Linked DNA regions of Kluyveromyces lactis. The main gene of each other region encodes a partner of the protein of the gene in region 4 in a complex. Links are inferred from orthologs where the notes say so. Each region holds a gene or a part of one and is shown on either strand. Other genes may lie near its edges.

Evidence for each region.
Region 1: NUP170 (region 4) and NUP159 share a complex: the UniProt entries of both Saccharomyces cerevisiae proteins name them as parts of the nuclear pore complex. The link is inferred for Kluyveromyces lactis from reciprocal best matches to the Saccharomyces cerevisiae genes NUP170 and NUP159.
Region 2: NUP170 (region 4) and NUP49 share a complex: the UniProt entries of both Saccharomyces cerevisiae proteins name them as parts of the nuclear pore complex. The link is inferred for Kluyveromyces lactis from reciprocal best matches to the Saccharomyces cerevisiae genes NUP170 and NUP49.
Region 3: NUP170 (region 4) and NUP145 share a complex: the UniProt entries of both Saccharomyces cerevisiae proteins name them as parts of the nuclear pore complex. The link is inferred for Kluyveromyces lactis from reciprocal best matches to the Saccharomyces cerevisiae genes NUP170 and NUP145.

The regions. Positions count from the first base shown.
Region 1 is NC_006042.1:329,448-334,974, forward strand, and holds the start of NUP159 (FG-nucleoporin NUP159), read right to left. Parts: upstream 3,781-5,527; coding exon 1-3,780. Other genes in the region: porin POR1, read right to left, coding at 4,394-5,242. UniProt on the Saccharomyces cerevisiae protein: Functions as a component of the nuclear pore complex (NPC).
Region 2 is NC_006042.1:2,088,261-2,092,748, forward strand, and holds NUP49 (FG-nucleoporin NUP49), read right to left. Parts: upstream 2,434-4,488; coding exon 1,216-2,433; downstream 1-1,215. Other genes in the region: KLLA0_F22341g (uncharacterized protein), read right to left, coding at 1-706; chromatin-binding exonuclease XRN1, read left to right, coding at 2,975-4,488. UniProt on the Saccharomyces cerevisiae protein: Functions as a component of the nuclear pore complex (NPC).
Region 3 is NC_006041.1:1,686,038-1,691,327, forward strand, and holds the start of NUP145 (nucleocytoplasmic transporter NUP145), read left to right. Parts: upstream 1-1,509; coding exon 1,510-5,290. Other genes in the region: kinetochore-microtubule binding complex subunit SPC105, read left to right, coding at 1-1,179. UniProt on the Saccharomyces cerevisiae protein: Functions as a component of the nuclear pore complex (NPC).
Region 4 is NC_006041.1:1,829,402-1,832,807, reverse strand, and holds the end of NUP170 (Nup170p), read left to right. Parts: coding exon 1-2,062; downstream 2,063-3,406. Other genes in the region: ubiquitin-like protein ATG8, read right to left, coding at 2,737-3,111. UniProt on the Saccharomyces cerevisiae protein: Functions as a component of the nuclear pore complex (NPC).

The DNA.
Region 1 (5,527 bases), on a different chromosome or scaffold from region 4:
TAAATTTTGGGAATGGTCACCTATAAACTTCCCAATGTTGTCGATATTTGAGCGTAACACTTGAATGTTTGCTAAAACTTGAGCATTTGTTTTTTCAACGGCCTGTACAACTTCATCGGAAGATATTGTACTGAATTCTTTAAGTTCAGCAGTGGAATAGAAAGCACTAGGCATTTCAGGAAGATACCTTTCAGCTATATATTGCTCATCATTTTCAAAGGCTTGTAAAGTAAAGTCTGCACTTTCTTTAGTAAGACTTTGAGTGGAAGCGCTTCCTACAGGTACACTCGCTTGCACATGCTGTGAAACATATTCTTTTGTAGTAGTACCGGATGATTTACTCATTTTGACTGGAGGATAATCTACCACAACTGGTGAAGAAGAGACGCTACCAGATTCTGGACTGACAGTTGAAGATGGTACAATTTCTTGATCCTTTGAAAGTGCTTCCTTTTTCTGTTCTGAACTTGCGAGGTTAGTAGAGGGAGTTGCCACTTCGGGGTCCGGCTCATCACCAGTTTTCTGTTTTAATTCTGGTTCTGGCTCTCTCATAACACTTTCGTTGCTAATAGAATTGACATTAGACAGTGGTGAGGTAATTTCAGAACCATCCTTCTTGAGATTGGCAAAGGAAAATGCGGGAGCCTTTCCTGTATCTTTGGATAAGGAATTTGTGAAGCCCGAAAAAGGTGAGGAATCTTTGTTTTCAACTGCTGTGGATTTCATGAATGGATTGGCAATATTCTCCGTTGAGAGGTTAGCCGCTTTCTTTATCCTATCGGTAAAAGAAGCAACAGACGATCTGGTGTCATCTTCCTCAGTAACGTAAGACGCAGCAACAGGGGTTGTGCTCTCCGCCGATGGGAAAGATCCTTCAGTGAGCAGATCACCTTTGACCTGCTTATCATTTCCTTTGTCTTCTTCTTGCTTTTTCTCCTTTGATACATCTTTAGTATCATCTTTCACTTGTTCTTCATCTTGCGCTTGCTGCTCCTTCTCCTCTTCCTCTCCCTCCTCCTTTTCTTCTTCTTCTTCTCCTTCTTCTTCTTCTTCTTCTTCTTCTTCTTCTTCTTCTTCTTCTTCTTCTTCTTCTTCTTCTTCTTCTTCTTCTTCTTCTTGCCCATCTTTGGTCTCCACTTTTGCTTGTTCTTCGTTGCTTTGCTCAGCTTCATCCTCTTCTATGTCACTGTTTGAGTTCAAAACAGTTGAAGAAGGTTTTGAAGAGGCTTCGATGTGTATATCAGATCTATCATTATCATATATTTCCCTGTCCTCTCCGTATAAGGAATCACTTTCATCGGTAGAGGATACAATGTTAGATTCGATATCGTCTTGATCTTCTGAAATGCTCGAATCATTAGCTGGACTAGGCACTTCAGATTGATCGTTTTCGATCGTCGAATCGCTGACTTCTTTCGAATTCAAAGAATCTTGAGTGACGGATGGCAAACTGTGGTTAGCTTCTGATATAGATTCACCGAAACCAGTAAAGTTGAACGACTTAGTGTCTTCTTTTTTAGAATTCAAGTGGCCGAATGGATCAGAAGTCTGAGTTTCGAATGGATTTATGGTCTTTTGGTCTGTAGCAAAGGCAGAAAATGGTGAAGACAATTTCGCAGATGTAGCGAATGAATTCGGTGCAGGGTTGGTAACAGCGCTGTCGCTGCCAAACTGAGAAGTTCCAAAGAGCGATTTTCCAAAAGACGACTCTGATGAAATTTTTGTGTTGGTTCCGAATGGAGAGGTAACATTAGCTCCTTGTATTCCGAAAGATGTGGAGCCAAAACTTGGCGTTCCAAAGACAGATGACGTCTCTGCCTCTTCGGACAAGGGTGAAGTGGTATTAGTTTGAGATTGGGTACCAAATGATGTACTTCCAAATGTTGGTTTGCCAAACGCTGGTTTACTGGGCGCCGATTGGTCAGATACAGGTTGGCCGAATGCTGGTTGTCCGAATGCTGGTTGTCCAGACGTTGGTTGACTAGATGCAGGTTTACCGAAAGTTGGTGGACCGAATGCTGCTTGGCCGAATGCTGATTGTCCAGATGTTGGTTGACTAGATGCCGGTTTCCCAAACGCTGGCTCCCCGAATGCTGGTTGACCGAATGCTGGTTGACCGACTGCTGATTGTCCAGATGTTGGTTGACTAGATGCCGGTTTCCCAAACGCTGGCTCCCCGAATGCTGGTTGACCGAATGCTGATTGTCCAGACGTTGGTTGACTAGATACAGGTTTGCCGAAAGTTGGTAGACCGAATGCTGGTTGACCGAATGCTGATTGGCCAGGTGTTGCTTGGCTAGATGTTACTTGGCCAAATGTTGCTTGGCCAAAGGCAGGTTTTCCAAATGCAGGAGATGAACCAGATGACAGCAAAGGATTTTGAGAGCCCTCAGACTCAGCATTTGTACTATCCGTCATGTTCTTCGGAGTGAACGAAAAACCTTTAGCGAAGGAATTTGTAGTTTCAAAAAATGACGATTGTTCAGGAACCTTTCTTACTTCAGTTATTGTGTTCTTAGTGTCTTGGGGAGAAATTAAAGTAACTTTTTCCTTTTCCATTGAAGAAGAACCACTTTCTATTTTATGAGATAAGATTTCGAAAGACTGTACATACTGAGTTTTGGTTGGTTCTAGCGTGAAACTCGAGTTTTGTAAAGCAGAGTGATGGAATAAAGCCCAACAAAATAGTTCCCCAAGATTGGTGAGGACATATAATATCGGTAGATTGTCAGCAGCCTCTACTCCGGAACAAGGCTCATACACAGTACCACTGGAAAATACATCTAGGGCCATCCCAATGGGTTGTGTATCATTATCTGTTTCAGGGTTGATTGGAAGAATTGCACAAGCAGCATCTTGGTCCGGTTTATACATCACGTTCGGTGTGGCAATCGATAGCTCTGATGCACACGATGATCCTATAACGAATAGATGTGGTAGCTGCTGAGCGAGTTGATACAATGTTTGAGAGTAGTATGAAGGATTTCTTTTGACTGTTGAATAGGGAGGCGCGATATCCATGGAAGGAGTAAAAGATTTAGTATTGACATTGACAAAATATACGGTTAAATCGTACATGATATCTTCTTCCGAGGCATCGACCGGTTCGCCGTACGATACGAGTAAACTGCTTTCTGACAAAGCGTTTATGGACAACGGTTCGTTAGGTTCATCGAGAGATGGCTTTTCAATAGAGGATGTGACGTTAAACTGTTCATCCAGTACAGCTATAGAACCATTTTTGTGTAAAACATAAAGTTGATGTTTCAAAGTGTCAATTGCGATGCAACCTGTGATTGAATGTAACTGTTCGGAAGAATGCTTTTGCGATAAGGATATTTTAAACACGACATTAGCGTTACTCGCAAGAAGTACATTCCCTTGGAAAATTACAGAACAAATGACTTCATTGACACCATTACCGTCCCAGTATTGTTCCCAGGCGAATTGGTCCAATTCGGTAACCCATACTGAACCATCTTCTAGGACCGTAGCCAAACTCTCTGCCACAAAAAAAACGCCCACTACTTTCGCCGTGAACTCTTTCGTATTTAGAGTGATGAAGGACTCATCACGGACAGATTGCAGATCATATACAGACACAGTCTTGGAAGAAGCAACAGCTAGTAATTTTTTCAACGGATGTATGGAAGCATTAGCCAGTTTTGAGAATGGCAAATCCTCATTGAAGCCTGGAACAATTTGTTTAGAGAATAAAAACTTGAATCCCAAGCTCTCAGTAGTTTCAACATTCAACGCATCAACCACAGAGGACGTCATTGATTCTGTATGTGTTCTTTTATCTGTGCCGACAGTAGTAGTTTCAATCCGTTAGTGTATTAATATAAACCTCAGCTGCTTATTAATTTGTAAACCTTGAATTTCAATGGGCATCAGTTGCAATGTTCAGTGCTTGTACAGGTTTGAAGCTTTTTGATGATAGCTTTGAAGTAAACAAAGTTCCAAAAAGAAGGAAATTATCAATCACGTGATCCGGAAATCAGTATGAGGTTAGTGTTCATGTTTTATTGTCTTTACTATGACATGAATGTTTTGAGATATAAAATTTTTTAGATGGTCATTAAAGAATACGTATTTAGTTAGGTAAGTATCTTCGAAAGAAGTAGGCGTTAACATTGTAATTGAGGCCATATCTGTAATGAAAACAAAGCGGATATTGTTGTTCTGAAAAAAAAGCGAACAAAATGAAAGGCAATATATATATATATCGGTATCAAATGGAACGCCAAGAAGAATGATACTTTAGTTGAATGTGAATCATTTCAAAATTGATAACCTAGGCTGGTGATCCATTGGACAAAGCAAAATAACATAAACTTAGAAAAAAGTAACACTTCTTTTTAACACTTGTGTAAAATTACTAAGTATGCATTTAAGCAGCGAACGATAGAGACCAACCCAACTTGTGGACTGGTTCAGCCAACTTCAAAGCGTCGAAAGAAGCACCAATACCTAGAGTGACACCTGGTCTCAATATTTGTTGGTAGGACAAGGCGACGATACCGGAGTCAGCAACCTTAGCCTTAACTTGAGAAACGGCGTCCAAAGCGTACTTGGAAGCGAATTCAATGTTGACATTAGAGCCAGCTTGAGGGTTCAAAGCAGCCTTAGCACCGACTTGCAAGATTGGGGAAACCTTTTGGAAGAAGGAAGCGGTGATCAATTGAGCGTTGTTGACGGACAAACCAACGGAATAAGCACCAGAAGCGTTGTAACCCAAAGCCAAAGCGTAACGGGAGACGGCACCAGCAGAGATGTCATAACCAACTTCAGCACCACCAACGAAACCTTCGTGAGCCAAGGTCAAGTCACCGACGAAGGATGGACCCTTCAACAAATCGAAGAAACCTCTAGCAGCAAACAAAGGTTGAACAAAGTTAACGTTCAACTTAGCAGCCTTAGAGACACCTGGAACACCAGAAGTGATCAATTCAGTCTTCAAGCCTGGAGTCAATTCAGCCAATTCGATCTTGGTGTCCAAAGTGTTGGCGTTGTTCCAACCTTGGGTGAAAGTCAAACCAGTAGACTTGTCAGAGGCCTTAACTTCAACGTTAGCAGCAATTGAGCCATCTTTTGGAGAAGTTTTACCCTTAACAGTGAAAGCAACACCGTTTGGAGCAGTGGTCTTAACGTCAACAGAAGCTGGGGTAGCGTGGAAGAATTCCTTGTTCAACAACCCATTGATGTCCTTGGAAATATCAGAAAAGAATGGAGGAGCCATTGTAAATCTTTGAAGTTATTTTTTGTTAGAGGGCGGAAGCAAGCTTTCGGAAGTGCGATTGATCTAAATGTGAATCAATTAGAGTTCAGTCAACCGCTAAAACCAAGAAGGAACTACTACATAACACAAAAGCAAGAGACAGACACCATTTTAATTCGGTGTGCATCCAAGATTTTTCGCAAATTTCCCAAAAAAAAATATCTCGATCTCTTTCATTTATATATAATATCGATTTTATAAATACAAATAATGACAATGTGAACTTTTCTCGATTTTTCACAGTTT
Region 2 (4,488 bases), on a different chromosome or scaffold from region 4:
AAGCAGTGATCCGGTCTTCTGCTGTTTCCTTCGCATTCTTCGTCCATTCCTTAACGCTTTCGAAGTTTTCACGCCTCACCGTTGTACTGACCCAGTTAGAAGTTGCTGCATAAGTAAATTTCAACTTCTTCTGACATACTTCGTAATATTGCTCAAGAGAAGGGAAGCTAGGGTAATATGATGCTAAAGTGGATGGAAGTGGCGTTTTCTTCACGTATGCTGCTTCGTATGCATGGGCCCTATGGCCCATGTATGCATCAAATTGACAAGCCAATCTGTCCTTGAAAGCTAGTGAACTACACTCTAACTCGTTGTTTTTAGTAAAACTGTTAATATCACGGATGAAAACGGTCAAGAGGCCCATGTTGATGAGACCGGCCACCAACGAAATTCCAAGAATAACGGATTGAAGTTTCGTCAAGCGCGCTGTCCATGTATTGCTCCTTGCTGTTGTCTTTGCAGGCGCAACGTTGGATAATGAATCCAGTGGCGTGGATAACGACGTAGTATTGTTACTATGATTAACGCTCCCTTTCTTATTCTGCAACACTGCGGAATCCTCTAAGTCGCTGCTTGTCACCGATAAAATATCGTCCATTTCACCAGCGTCAAGATCCCTGATGGAATATGTACCGTCCACACCACCAACGACCCCCCAAGTGTCATTTCCATCCACTGATGTACATCTATCTTTTACTTCAGCCATCGCTTCGCTTTAATCAAAAAAAAAATCTCCTAGCTCCTTGATTTTACGCCTGAAGCTTGATCTACAATAAGTTTATACTGACAGAATTAATACTAAAATGTCACACTTAATATGTCTCTGATATTCCAATAATGATAGTTAGTTGCCAGCAACGTTCTAAAATTCTTATCAGTCCTATATATATTTCTTGAGTATAATCACAAAACCAGGACGCCTTTCCTTTGTTCTTTGTTTCACATTTTCGTTTCCGGGAAAACTGTTACTCCTTGTTAACCATTTTTTAATCCTTATTCCTTTTATATTTGTCGTATCAAATTCCCTTTTTTCACAACTCATTGACCTAAATAAGGAAGGGAAGATAAAGGGAGCCTGAGAAGAGAAGACTGCGAAGAGACAAGTGGCAGATGCGGTGCAGGTGCAGTGCATGTGCAGGAGTTAGTGATCTGCATCAATAGGTAATATGTTCTTGAACGCTTTCTTTTTTTATAGTATTAAAAGAATAATATCGACTATTTAACTATTATTTCTTTACACTTCTGATGCAGTTCTGCTATTCTTTCAGCTGTATCCATGAATAGTTTGAACTCTTCGATTAGAACGCTGACGATAATGTTAACACCGACCTTGGTATCATCATCTTCGGATGAATCGTTCCCAAAGAGATCATTCTCTAGACCTGACACTGCGTCGTCAATATTGCTTAGAGTGTCGTTGTAGTCATTTAATTTGTGTTTGTATGTGATTAATTTTTCCTGGAAGAACTTATCTATCTCAACGTTTGATATTTTGAATCCCTTACTGACTAGTTGTTGCAACATTATAGCAAAATTTTCCAATTGTTTAACATCTTTATCCACTAGTGTCTTGATGGCATCGATTCGTTTCAAATCTGATGATAGTGATCTTGTTGCGTTGAAATGCAATTTTTGTAGATACTTGATGTCACGAGGGATTGAATCCAATAGTTCAGTTTGATCTTGTAGATCAGCTTCAAGATGTTTGGATAAAGACACTTGCGTTCTAATGAATTGGTCCAATTGTTCGATTTCTTGACGAATTTGAATCGGAAGCTCCGATATCTTGGTCATCGGCGTGATAGCTAATTGGTTAATGAAATTAATGGCACTCTGTTGAGTCTGTTGTATCTGTTGTTGTGGTGGCTGTTGAAATTGATTTTGTGTTTGTCCAAACATTCCTAAACCAGATTGTTGGGATTGCTGTTGTTGATTTCCGAATGGGCCTCCGGTAGTTGGTTTGGATCCAAACAATCCTCCACCAGTTGCAGAGCCTCCGAAACCGGTAGTCTGTGGTTGTGCTGGTTTGGATCCAAATAATCCTCCTCCAGTTCCAGAGCTTCCAAAACCAGTGGTCTGTGGTTGTGCTGACTTATTCCCGAATAAGCCTCCGCCAGACCCGGCTCCTGAGTTACCAAATAGGCCACCTGTGGAGCCAGTGGCTGTATTATTAGAACTTCCGAAAAGTCCTCCTGCGGTTTGGTTCGTATTGTTGTTGGTGCCTGCTGGATTACTGCCAAATAATCCTCCGCCAGTCTGTGTCGCTGTATTGTTATTGTTTCCAAATAACCCTCCTCCAGTGTTACCTGATGTGGCATTGTTATTACCAAAAAGACCACCGCTAGTGCTTTGCTGGTTGCCCGTATTCCCAAATAATCCTCCTCCTGTGCTTGGTCCTACTGGAGGACCTGTAGAAGAAGAACGGCCAAACATTTCGTTTCTATCAGTAATAAGAGTATTAGATATTTACACGCCGTAAATTCAGTTAATTCAACTTACTGTTCAGTATCAATTGGTGTCTCAATTCTGCTCTCTCCATCTTTCTTTTTAACCTCATCTGTTTACTTTCTCAGTTTCCATATTCAAAATGTTTTCAACTCTTCCATCAAAGAGTATAAAACAAGAAAAAAAAGCTTGAACTTATGGATCCGGGTAACCCATAAACCTCGTCTCAAAAAATTTTGCCACCACCAAGAAAAATATTCCGATTGAACATTGGAAAGAATTACCAAATTACCTTAACGATTATGTTACTAAACAGTAGCTTTGGTTAATGTACTTTCAGGGTCTTTCATCCATATCAGGGTATATTATAACAATTCACTAAAAGTGGTTACTCATTGTTCGGCAACGTATACTACTGGTACTATCCAATCCCAGTTGTTGTTGATCTTTTCTATTGTTGGAGGAAAAAAGTCAGTAAAGCAAACCTCAGAAAGTGTTCAATTAATTACGGTTTGTGGCTTAACTAAAAATGGGTATTCCAAAATTCTTTCATTTCATCTCTGAGAGATGGCCTCAAATTTCTCAATTGATCGATGGATCACAGATTCCAGAGTTCGACAATTTGTACTTGGATATGAATTCTATTTTGCATAATTGTACGCATGGTGATGGTAGCGAGGTGAATTCAAGACTATCAGAGGAAGAAGTTTATTCCAAAATTTTCAGTTATATTGATCATCTTTTCCATACTATTAAACCAAAACAGACATTTTATATGGCAATCGATGGTGTGGCCCCAAGAGCAAAGATGAACCAACAAAGAGCTCGTAGATTCAGAACTGCCATGGATGCCGAAAAGGCTTTGCAGAAGGCCATTGAAAATGGTGACGAGTTGCCTAAGGGAGAGCCATTTGATTCCAACGCTATTACCCCAGGAACAGAATTTATGGCAAAATTAACCGAGAATTTGAAATATTTCATCCATGACAAGATCACCAACGATACCAGATGGCAGAACGTGAAGGTTATTTTCTCCGGGCATGAGGTTCCTGGTGAAGGTGAACATAAGATCATGGATTACATCAGAGCAATTAGAGCACAAGAGGATTACAATCCAAATACAAGACATTGTATCTACGGGTTAGATGCTGATTTGATCATCCTAGGTTTATCCACCCATGATCACCACTTTTGTTTATTAAGAGAAGAAGTTACTTTTGGTAAACGTTCGTCTTCTGTGAAAACTCTAGAAACACAGAACTTCTTCTTGTTGCATTTGTCTATCTTGAGAGAATATTTGGCATTAGAGTTCGAAGAAATAACAGATTCTGTGCAGTTTGAATACGACTTTGAAAGAGTATTAGATGATTTCATCTTTGTATTATTTACCATCGGTAATGATTTCTTACCAAATTTGCCCGATTTGCATTTGAAAAAAGGTGCATTCCCTGTGCTATTACAAACTTTTAAAGAAGCTCTCCAACATATGGATGGTTACATTAATGAACAAGGTAAGATAAATTTGGCAAGATTTTCCATTTGGTTGAAGTACTTGTCCGATTTTGAATACCTTAACTTTGAGAAGAAAGATATTGACGTTGAATGGTTCAATCAACAACTTGAAAATATTTCCTTGGAAGGTGAGCGTAAACGTACTAGGATGGGTAAAAAGTTGTTGATGAAACAACAAAAGAAATTGATTGGCGCCGTAAAACCATGGTTATTGAAAACCGTTCAACGGAAGGTCACTTCTGAATTACAGGATGCCGATTTCGAAATTTTCCCTCTTGAGGATAAAGAATTGGTTCGGGCCAACCTGGATTTCTTGAAGGAATTCGCATTTGATTTGGGTTTAATTCTTGCTCATTCTAAATCAAAAGATTTGTACTACTTCAAGTTGGATTTAGACTCCATCAATGTGCAAGAAACAGATGAAGAGCATGAAGCCCGTATTCACGAAACAAGACGTTCTATTAAGAAATATGAACAAGGTATTATTATTGCATCTGAAGAAGAATTAGAAGAAGAGCGTGAAATTTATAG
Region 3 (5,290 bases), about 140 kb from region 4:
CTACAATCAAGGAATCTCTTAAAGAGTCTTCGAGAGCAGATTGCATCCAACGAACCCCCCAGGTTGATAAAAGAGTATTTTGAGGCAGATACTGATACCCGTTATGCTATTAACGAAAAGTTAGAATTAGTAACCATAATGGCTAGATTACAATCTGAAAAAGTCTGGTTTGAGTGGAGATCACAACATTTGAAAGGAATTAAAACAGTCCTGGAAGAAAATATAGCTATCTTGGTGGATGAAAATGCCCAGATCATGAAATACATGAATGAAATAAATGACGTGAAAATAAGAGTTAGTGACATCAAACAGGTGTTAATGAAAGAACTTGATGTTCTTCGGCAGCACAACGATGTTTTTAGTAACAAGAAAGAGAACATAACGACTCTCCTGAAAGTGAACAAATTGAAAGGAGACTTGAGGGAGAACATGCTAAAGGTGTCAGACTTGAACCAGCTGACCACTAAAAAAGATCAACTTACCCAAAAAATACAAGATGCAAAATTGGAGATGAGTAAAGTGAACGAAGAGATTGCTCAACTTCGACAGGACTTGAAACAAAGCAAAGTTTGCACAGAATATGATGTGGCAAAGCTTAAACTAGTCCATCAGCTTTACCAAAGCATTTCTGGTATAAAGTTCAGAAAGTTAGTTGGTCCAGTCCTATCTGTATCATTACATGACGACAAAGTTATTGTGACAGCTGATCTTTCAAAAATTGATCAACCGTCATGTATTTCATTCAGTATTAGAGAAGAACGAATAGACCAATTTGAAAGAGAATTTATAAACTGTTGGATCAACTCTTGCCAGCGAACCTTCATAAATGGACTACAGTGCATATCAAGTTTGCAACGTCAACTGATAGATCTTTCAATTGTCATTTCAGAATTCAAAAAATTAAAACTCGTATTCCCGGCAACCGTCAATGCCCCATCACAGAATTCTCAGATCAAATATGTCACATTCCAGCATTTGGACTATAAATATCATTGCAAAGTAGCCCTTTCTTTGCCTATGGAAAGGTTTATTGATTTGATATGTCACTCTAAAAATGCGACCATCAATGTTAATATTATCTATGGCGAAGAAAAAACAGCAAGAAATCTAACGTCTAATCTCATAAAGAAATATGAAAAGGTATTTAAATGGCTCTCCAATTGTAATATAGCTCTTTGATATGGATATCCGAGCTTTTGTAGCGCAAGTTTTAGGCATTACGCAGTATATAGTTTCGTACGATATTTCTTTAAATTTCTCTCGAATGGCAATATTCCAAAAAATTGTTATTCTATAACATTTAAACAGTAAGATGAGTGTAAACAAAACACCTTTTGAACTCTAACAAGTGCACTACTTGGCTATCATTGATCGCAGAGCTTCTAAAAACCAATTCCATAGCTGGTGTTCATTGCTGCAGACGAAATTTCTCAGTTTTTTGTTACTGCTGTCATTTTTGAATCTGTACAGTTTAAACATCATCATCATAAATTCAACAACAAGTTGATTATGTTTGGTAATAACAAAGCGCCTGGTTCGTTATTCGGCAACGCGAACACCTCAACACCTACAACTTCTACACCAGCGAACAATGGGGTTTTGAATGGAAAACCCAATACTGGCACATTGTTTAGTGCTAATACACTCTCCACGCCGAGCCCTGGAAACCCAACAGGATTTGGCAATGCTCAGAACAACAACAACAAGCCTGGGTTGAATCTTTTTGGAAACAACAATGCTTCCCAGAATACACCACAGACGAATTCTCTATTCCAGCCTAATAACGCCGCTGCATCAACGCCCAACACATCATTATTTTCTGGCCCAGGGTCGAATGCCCAGCAGAACAATGGTGCTGGCAAGCTATTCGGAAATTCTGGTGGACAACAGACAGCTACTGGTATCTCATTCGGAAATAACCCCAGTGCGACAACAAACAATACGTTCCAATCAAACGGATTAAATACGCAACAGAGTGGTGGTTTATTTGGTAATAAATCAAACAATGGTGGGTCACTTTTCGGAAATACTCCATCGCAAACTAATAGTCTATTTTCTAATAATACCACGAACACGGCGTCAACAGTCCCAAAGACTTCACTGTTTGGAAATTCATCAACACAAGGTTCAGGGAGCTTATTCTCGTCCAGCAAACCAACTACAAATTCAACAGGCTTGTTCAATGTTTCTCAACTACAACAGCCACAGCAACCTGGCCAACCCCCAACGAACAACCCATACGGTTTGCAATTAAGTCCAAATCCTGTGCTGTCAATGCCAGAATCTATTACTACATCCCTGAGTAACGAGAGAAAGCCTGTCTCAGACTCGAAACAAAATAGAAAATTTTCAACTGCATCATCAGTGATCAGCAACAATATATTACCTCCCACAGGCAATTCAACACTGATAGGGAAGCTAACTTCAAGACTTAAGAATTTGAAGAGCAGAGAAACAACACATGGTTTGTTCTCCCCATCAAATAAAAACTTAGCCCAACAGGATACTTTCTCGGCACTTTCAAGAGATGAGAGTAAGGAAAAAGGGAAGAATATTAACAATAAGACAAACTCACTGGCTTCTTATTTTAACCAGGACGTTTCAAGCATGAAAAAATTAACCATTGATACAGACAGAAGCGCTGCCAAAAAGATGAAACTCTTTAACGGTCACTCTTCCGCTACCATAATGAAAGATATGGACGAGAAAGATCATAAGATTAGTATACCAAGGAATGATAAACTTCTTTTTTCAGCACATCCTTCAGAAACTAGTCCAACAGAGCCAACTTCGGAAGTCTGTCTGGATGAAGAACACAAAATAACGAATAAAGCAACTGACTATTGGTGCTCACCTACTATCGAACAATTAGAGCAACTTACGGAAAACCAGCTCACGGTTGTGCCCAATTTTGTGATTGGTCGCAAAAACTTTGGTTCCATCAGTTTTGACTATGAAGTTGACTTAACTGCATTTATGGATGATTTTGAAGAACTATTCGGAAGAACAATAATTTTTAATGAGAATAGAACCGTGGAAGTCTATCCTGATACCGAAAATAAACCGGATGTTGGTTATGGTGTCAATGTACCTGCTACAATAACTTTGGAAAATGTTTATCCGATCGATAAAAAAACAAAAGAACCCATTAAAGACAACTCGAAAATTGCTGAAGTTCAATATTTTGTCAAGCGTTTAAGGAATATGAAAGAAATGGAATTCATTTCATATAACCCATTTGGTGGAATTTGGACTTTTAGAGTTAAACATTTCAGTGTTTGGGGAATGGTCAATGAAGAAGATATGGAGGTGGATGCTGAAGAAGCAGAAAGAATAAACGCCGAGGAAATAAGAGACAGACCTCTGGCCTTTCCCAAGCGTCGCCACAGTGTGAAGAAGTCTAGCACGTCCCTTGAAGCGGAGGTACCAAGCAATGCAGACCTCACAGCAGCAGAGGCTCTTGCAATGGAGAAAGAAGTACTAGATTTGGTTCCAGTACTATCCGACTCTGTTGACCAAGACATGTCACTTATTATCAAGGAAAAACCTTACGAACCTTCTGATTTAGACGAAGATGATTTGAATATCCTCGAGGCTGCACCTAAACTTGTTACATCATCGAACTGGTTGCAACAATTACAATTAGCAGGTACTTCCAAACAGTCTGTGTATTCCAAGCCACTTTTACTCAAAAACACGCAAGGTAATTCTTTGGACGATATCTTGTTCCCTTCATTTAAGAAAGATTTATTGACATACCAATCTGTTAAAAGAGAAAGAAGAATCAACTCACATATGTGGTTTGCGAAGTTTAATATTAACGGGCAATTATTGCTCAAAGATCCATCACAGTTGTCAGGCTGTAAGCAGATCGTGTTTCAGTCCAACTTGCCAATAAATAAATCTTCTTTTGACAATGTGTTCGCCTCTTATCTGAACACATCCATAGTCAACTCCAGACCAAATGGTTATCCTCTTGTTGGGAAATGTTCCTTACAGTTCGATAATCTTGCTTCTGCATATTCTGATGTCCCAAATGAAGACAAAATATTGAAGTTAGCATCCATTTTGTTTGATCCTCTTTCCCTTCCATACGCTGTCAATTCCCCAGAAGTTGAAAAAGTTCTTATTAAAAAACAACGGCATGCAAAGCTCTGTGGATGGATAGTCGATGAAACAAGGGCTGAGATTGATTCTATGCTATCCACTGCTTCTGATATTCAGAAAATACTTCTTTTCCTCTCTGTCAACGACATTGTAAATGCTTCAAAGACGGCTATAATTTCCAAAAACAAACATTTATCTGTTTTGATAACGTTACTGGGGTCCAATGATCCAATTGTTCGTGAAATCGCGCAACTACAGTTAACTAAATGGAAATCTTTAGGCTCTATAGTGGATCCAACAGTCATTAGTATCTATCAACTACTCACTGGCAATCCTTTCGCTTCTACTGCGTTGGTAAATGAGAGTAACAAGTTTTCGCGGTTAGTGAATTTAGGTTTACAAGTATATTATGGAGATATCGATTCATTGACTCTAGAAGATTTGATTATGAATGCTATATCAAATCCATTTGTTGATACATCGTCTGTTTCAACTTTTGAAAACTTGTCAATGAATATTATGAAGTTATTTGCTTGCCCAACTATCCCAGTTGAGCAACTTTTAGATGAATTGAGATCGCATTCGGAGATATTCGATGTTCGGCTCTGTTGGTTCTTTACGCATATGTTACAAAGAGAAGATATTACTGAACATTTGCGTGACAGAATCACGTTAGAGTTCATTGATCAACTAAAGCTTGACAGAATGCATAAGGAAGCTTTATTCGTGGCATGTTTCATTGCCGATGATGCTATCGCCAAGAATACCATAGATTTGTTGCTAAGCTCAGAAATTTTGTATTTCACCTCCAATGATATTAAACCAATTTTGGAAAGATTACAGATTTCAGCTCCAATAATCCATCGTCATCTGGCACTATACGAGAAGTACTCTGGCGACCATCTTTCCGAAGTAAGTAATTTGTTGAAAGCAGGCGACTTTAAGGAGGCGGAACTAGTCACCATTACTACCGTAGGTCCAAAGTTAATAATCAATGCCAAATGGAATAACGATTACTTATCAGTTTTGGAAACACTGTTGCAAAGGTTTCCTTCGCACACCATCCCAACTTGGGAAAAAGGATTGGGTGTATATGAAAAGTACATCAAGCTCTCACTACACAACTCCCTCGATCCTAATATCATCCATCAGCTTATCAACACATTACCCAACCTATGCAAAG
Region 4 (3,406 bases):
TATTTTCCAACTCGATCCCCATGTAAAAATTAATCCGGATAATTCAGTGATGAAGAGTTCAATTAAAGGTGATAATATTATTACAAAAATCGTTGTATCAAGAGGTGATATCGAATATTATCTATCCTCAGTAATGATTTTAAACGAGTTCTTCCAATCATATGGTAATTCAATTACAACAATCACTAATATTTCTCCAATTAATGGAGAAAAGGTGGTGGATAAAGGAGAAGATGTTGCGCATCAGGCAGAAAATGTTGCTATGAACGCAGTTATCAAACTCCTTCAATCCATAAAGGAGTCACTTTCATTTTTGAACGTACTATTCGAAGAGAGTGAAGTAGATGGTTACGAAGGGCAATACTTAGCATTTGTTGACATTATGAAGTACTTGAATTTCGATATTCAATACGACTTAAGCAAGTTGAAATTCAAGGATATTTTCAATCCCAATGAACAAACCAAAAATTTAATAAGAGAGATTCTCTCCTCAATCATCAACAGAAGTATTACAAAAGGTGGATCTATTGAATACATCGCTACTGCACTTCAAGAACGCTGTGGATCGTTTTGTTCCACCGGTGATGTTCTTGGCTTTAGAGCTGTCGAGCACTTGAGAAAAGCAAAAGAAATAGGACTCAGAGATCAAGAAACACTCAACTATCACCTAACCAATGCAGCAAAGTTATTTGAAAGAATAGTTGATGATGTGTCTTTAGATAAGATAAAAGAGGCTGTAGGTATCATGTTGGAACTTAATTACTACCCAAAAACCGTCGAATTTTTGTTGAATATTGCCAATGCGATGGACAAGGGTAAATTGGCACTTCAATATGTTGCAGATGGATCTTTGGAACACGATGAAAGGAAAAAATACTACAATGCTAGAGTTTCGATCTATGAAATTGTGTTCGAAACTTTAATCAAAGTTGACCAACTAGCTGCTCTGCCTGAAAATGTTAACAATCAAGATATTCAAAAAACCCGCGATGAGGTTTACAACGTTACTTTAAAATATAACGACAAATTATTCCATTATCAAATGTATGATTGGTTGGTACAGCAAAAGTCTGAAGAAAAGCTTCTTCAGCTAGACTCAGATTTTATTCTACCATACTTAGAAGAAAAAGCAGCGAAATCCCTAGAAATTTCCAATCTTCTTTGGGTTTACCAATCCAAAAGATCGCATTTCTTGGAAGCAGCTCAAATTCTGTATTCATTAGCTATTTCGGATTTCGATATTCCTCTACAAAACAGAATTGAGTACTTGTCAAGAGCTAACGTTTTCTGTAATGGAGTCTCTCCGCCAAGCCAAAGGCAAGCCATGATTCAATTATCTGGCATGATAAAAGAAGTTGTCGATGTAGCAAGCATTCAAGATGAAATTGTCCGTGCTCTCAAGGATGACCTCAGGATTGATTCGACTGTCAGAAATGAAGCCTTGCAACAACTTGAAGGCAAAATTTTGACCGTGACTGAACTTTATAATGACTTTGCCGCACCATTGAGTTATTATGAAATTTGTCTGCTCATTTTCAAAGTCAGTGACTTTAGAAATCATGAGGAAATCATATCGAAATGGGAAGAGCTTTTCAGTTCTTTCAAGGAACATTTATCAGAGAACAATGCTACGGATGAACTGGAAAAAAGCACTACTTTCATTAGTCTAGCATCATCAACAGTGATTCGTGTTGGTAAGAATGTACGTACCAGTGAATTTGTGTTCCCAGTTGTTGATTTATTCCCACACATCTGTAGCCTAATATATGAGAACCTTCCAAAAGAACACATCAAAGCAGGTTCAATTGCATCTATTTTCATCCAAGCTGGCGTCTCATACGACCGAATGTACCATGTTCTCAAAGATTTAATTGAAACAACTACCAGCTCCAACGATATTTACGAACAAGAGATGGTTTGGCTGATTAAAGAATGGTATCACTCTGACAGAAAATTGAGAGATTTGATACCACTAGAAGAAATTCGTTCCTTCGACAAGTATTCAATTGAAAATGACCCATTGGAAAATTACAAAAAGCGCACAGGTGATAGTGTGTTTTGAGTTACTCTAACCTTTCAGCGAGATGGTAAAAAAAAGAACAGCTTTAGTTTAAAACGTCTGTTGTGGTGTTTATTTCCCTTTGTATACTATATTGATAAATAACATTTTCACCCCAATCTTAATAAACAAAACAACTAATATCAATATTGCTTTCTTATGATGTTGCGATAAGTCTTTGGTTATGGAAAGAATATATTAAACCGAATTTCGACCTGCAATCTGCTGAAGAGGTATATAAAATTGTATATTTATGAAGAACCTCTTTCGAAGTGAAAAAAAAAAGCCTAGAGATTTCATTATGGAACGGCAACATATGACTTCATCAGCAGGTATTATAAGCAACGCTTTGTCCAGATCTAGGGAACTGTTGCAGCTAGAAATATGAGAATAGGATAAATAGAAGGGAAAACATATCAGAAAGATTTCAAATACTGCTTCGGTATATATCTAGAGCAAAAGGTGTGGAAGAATAGAAAATAATAGCATCGTAGACATTCGACAATGCATTTCATCTTATCATCACTTCAATATTGTTATTCAGGTTCTTTCTTTTAGATCATCTTTTCAACAATATCTGGTTCAAAATTGTGCATTAGTTACTTGTTTTGCATCAAGCAGAACAACCTAATGGAATCATAAAAGAAAACTTAAAGGGAAGAAAGTTTAACTTAATCTCATTCCTCAGAAAACAGGGCATCGTCACCAAAAGTGTTTTCACTCGAATAGGATACATAAAGGAACCCGTCCTTATCCTTGTGTTGTTGGTAAATAGAAGACATTAAAGCTGCTGTTGGAGGTAAAGTATCATTGACAAAGATGAAAATAGCCTTTTCAGCAGGTAGCTTGATTCTCTTTCTAATTACATAAACAAATTGGCCAACAGTCAAATCTCCTGGCACCAAATATTTGCGTTTATCAATGTCTGGAATATCCGATTTGCCACCTCTTTCACAGATCACTGGAATACGGTTATGGAACTTTTGCACTATCCTTTCAGATTCAGCCTTTCTCTTTTCAAATGGGAACTCAGATTTGAATGCAGATTTCATTGCGTTTTAAAACTCTCTCCTATAATACGTAACACCGATAAAAATAATCAAACTCTCTTGAAATATTCTCCTGTCTCTATTTCAAACTAATAACCCGAAAAGATGTTTGTAACTTAACTTTCAAAAGTCTAGCTGATTTGTTCCAACTCTTGAATCGTGTTGTGTCTCTTTTTATCCGTCTTTCTGGTTCTTTCTCTCTCTCAAGAAAAAAACTTGCACGTAATAGCACTGTACTGCACTTTTCTTGCAAAACTCAAACAGATTACTGGGTAGCTAAGAAAAACGCTCTTTGTTT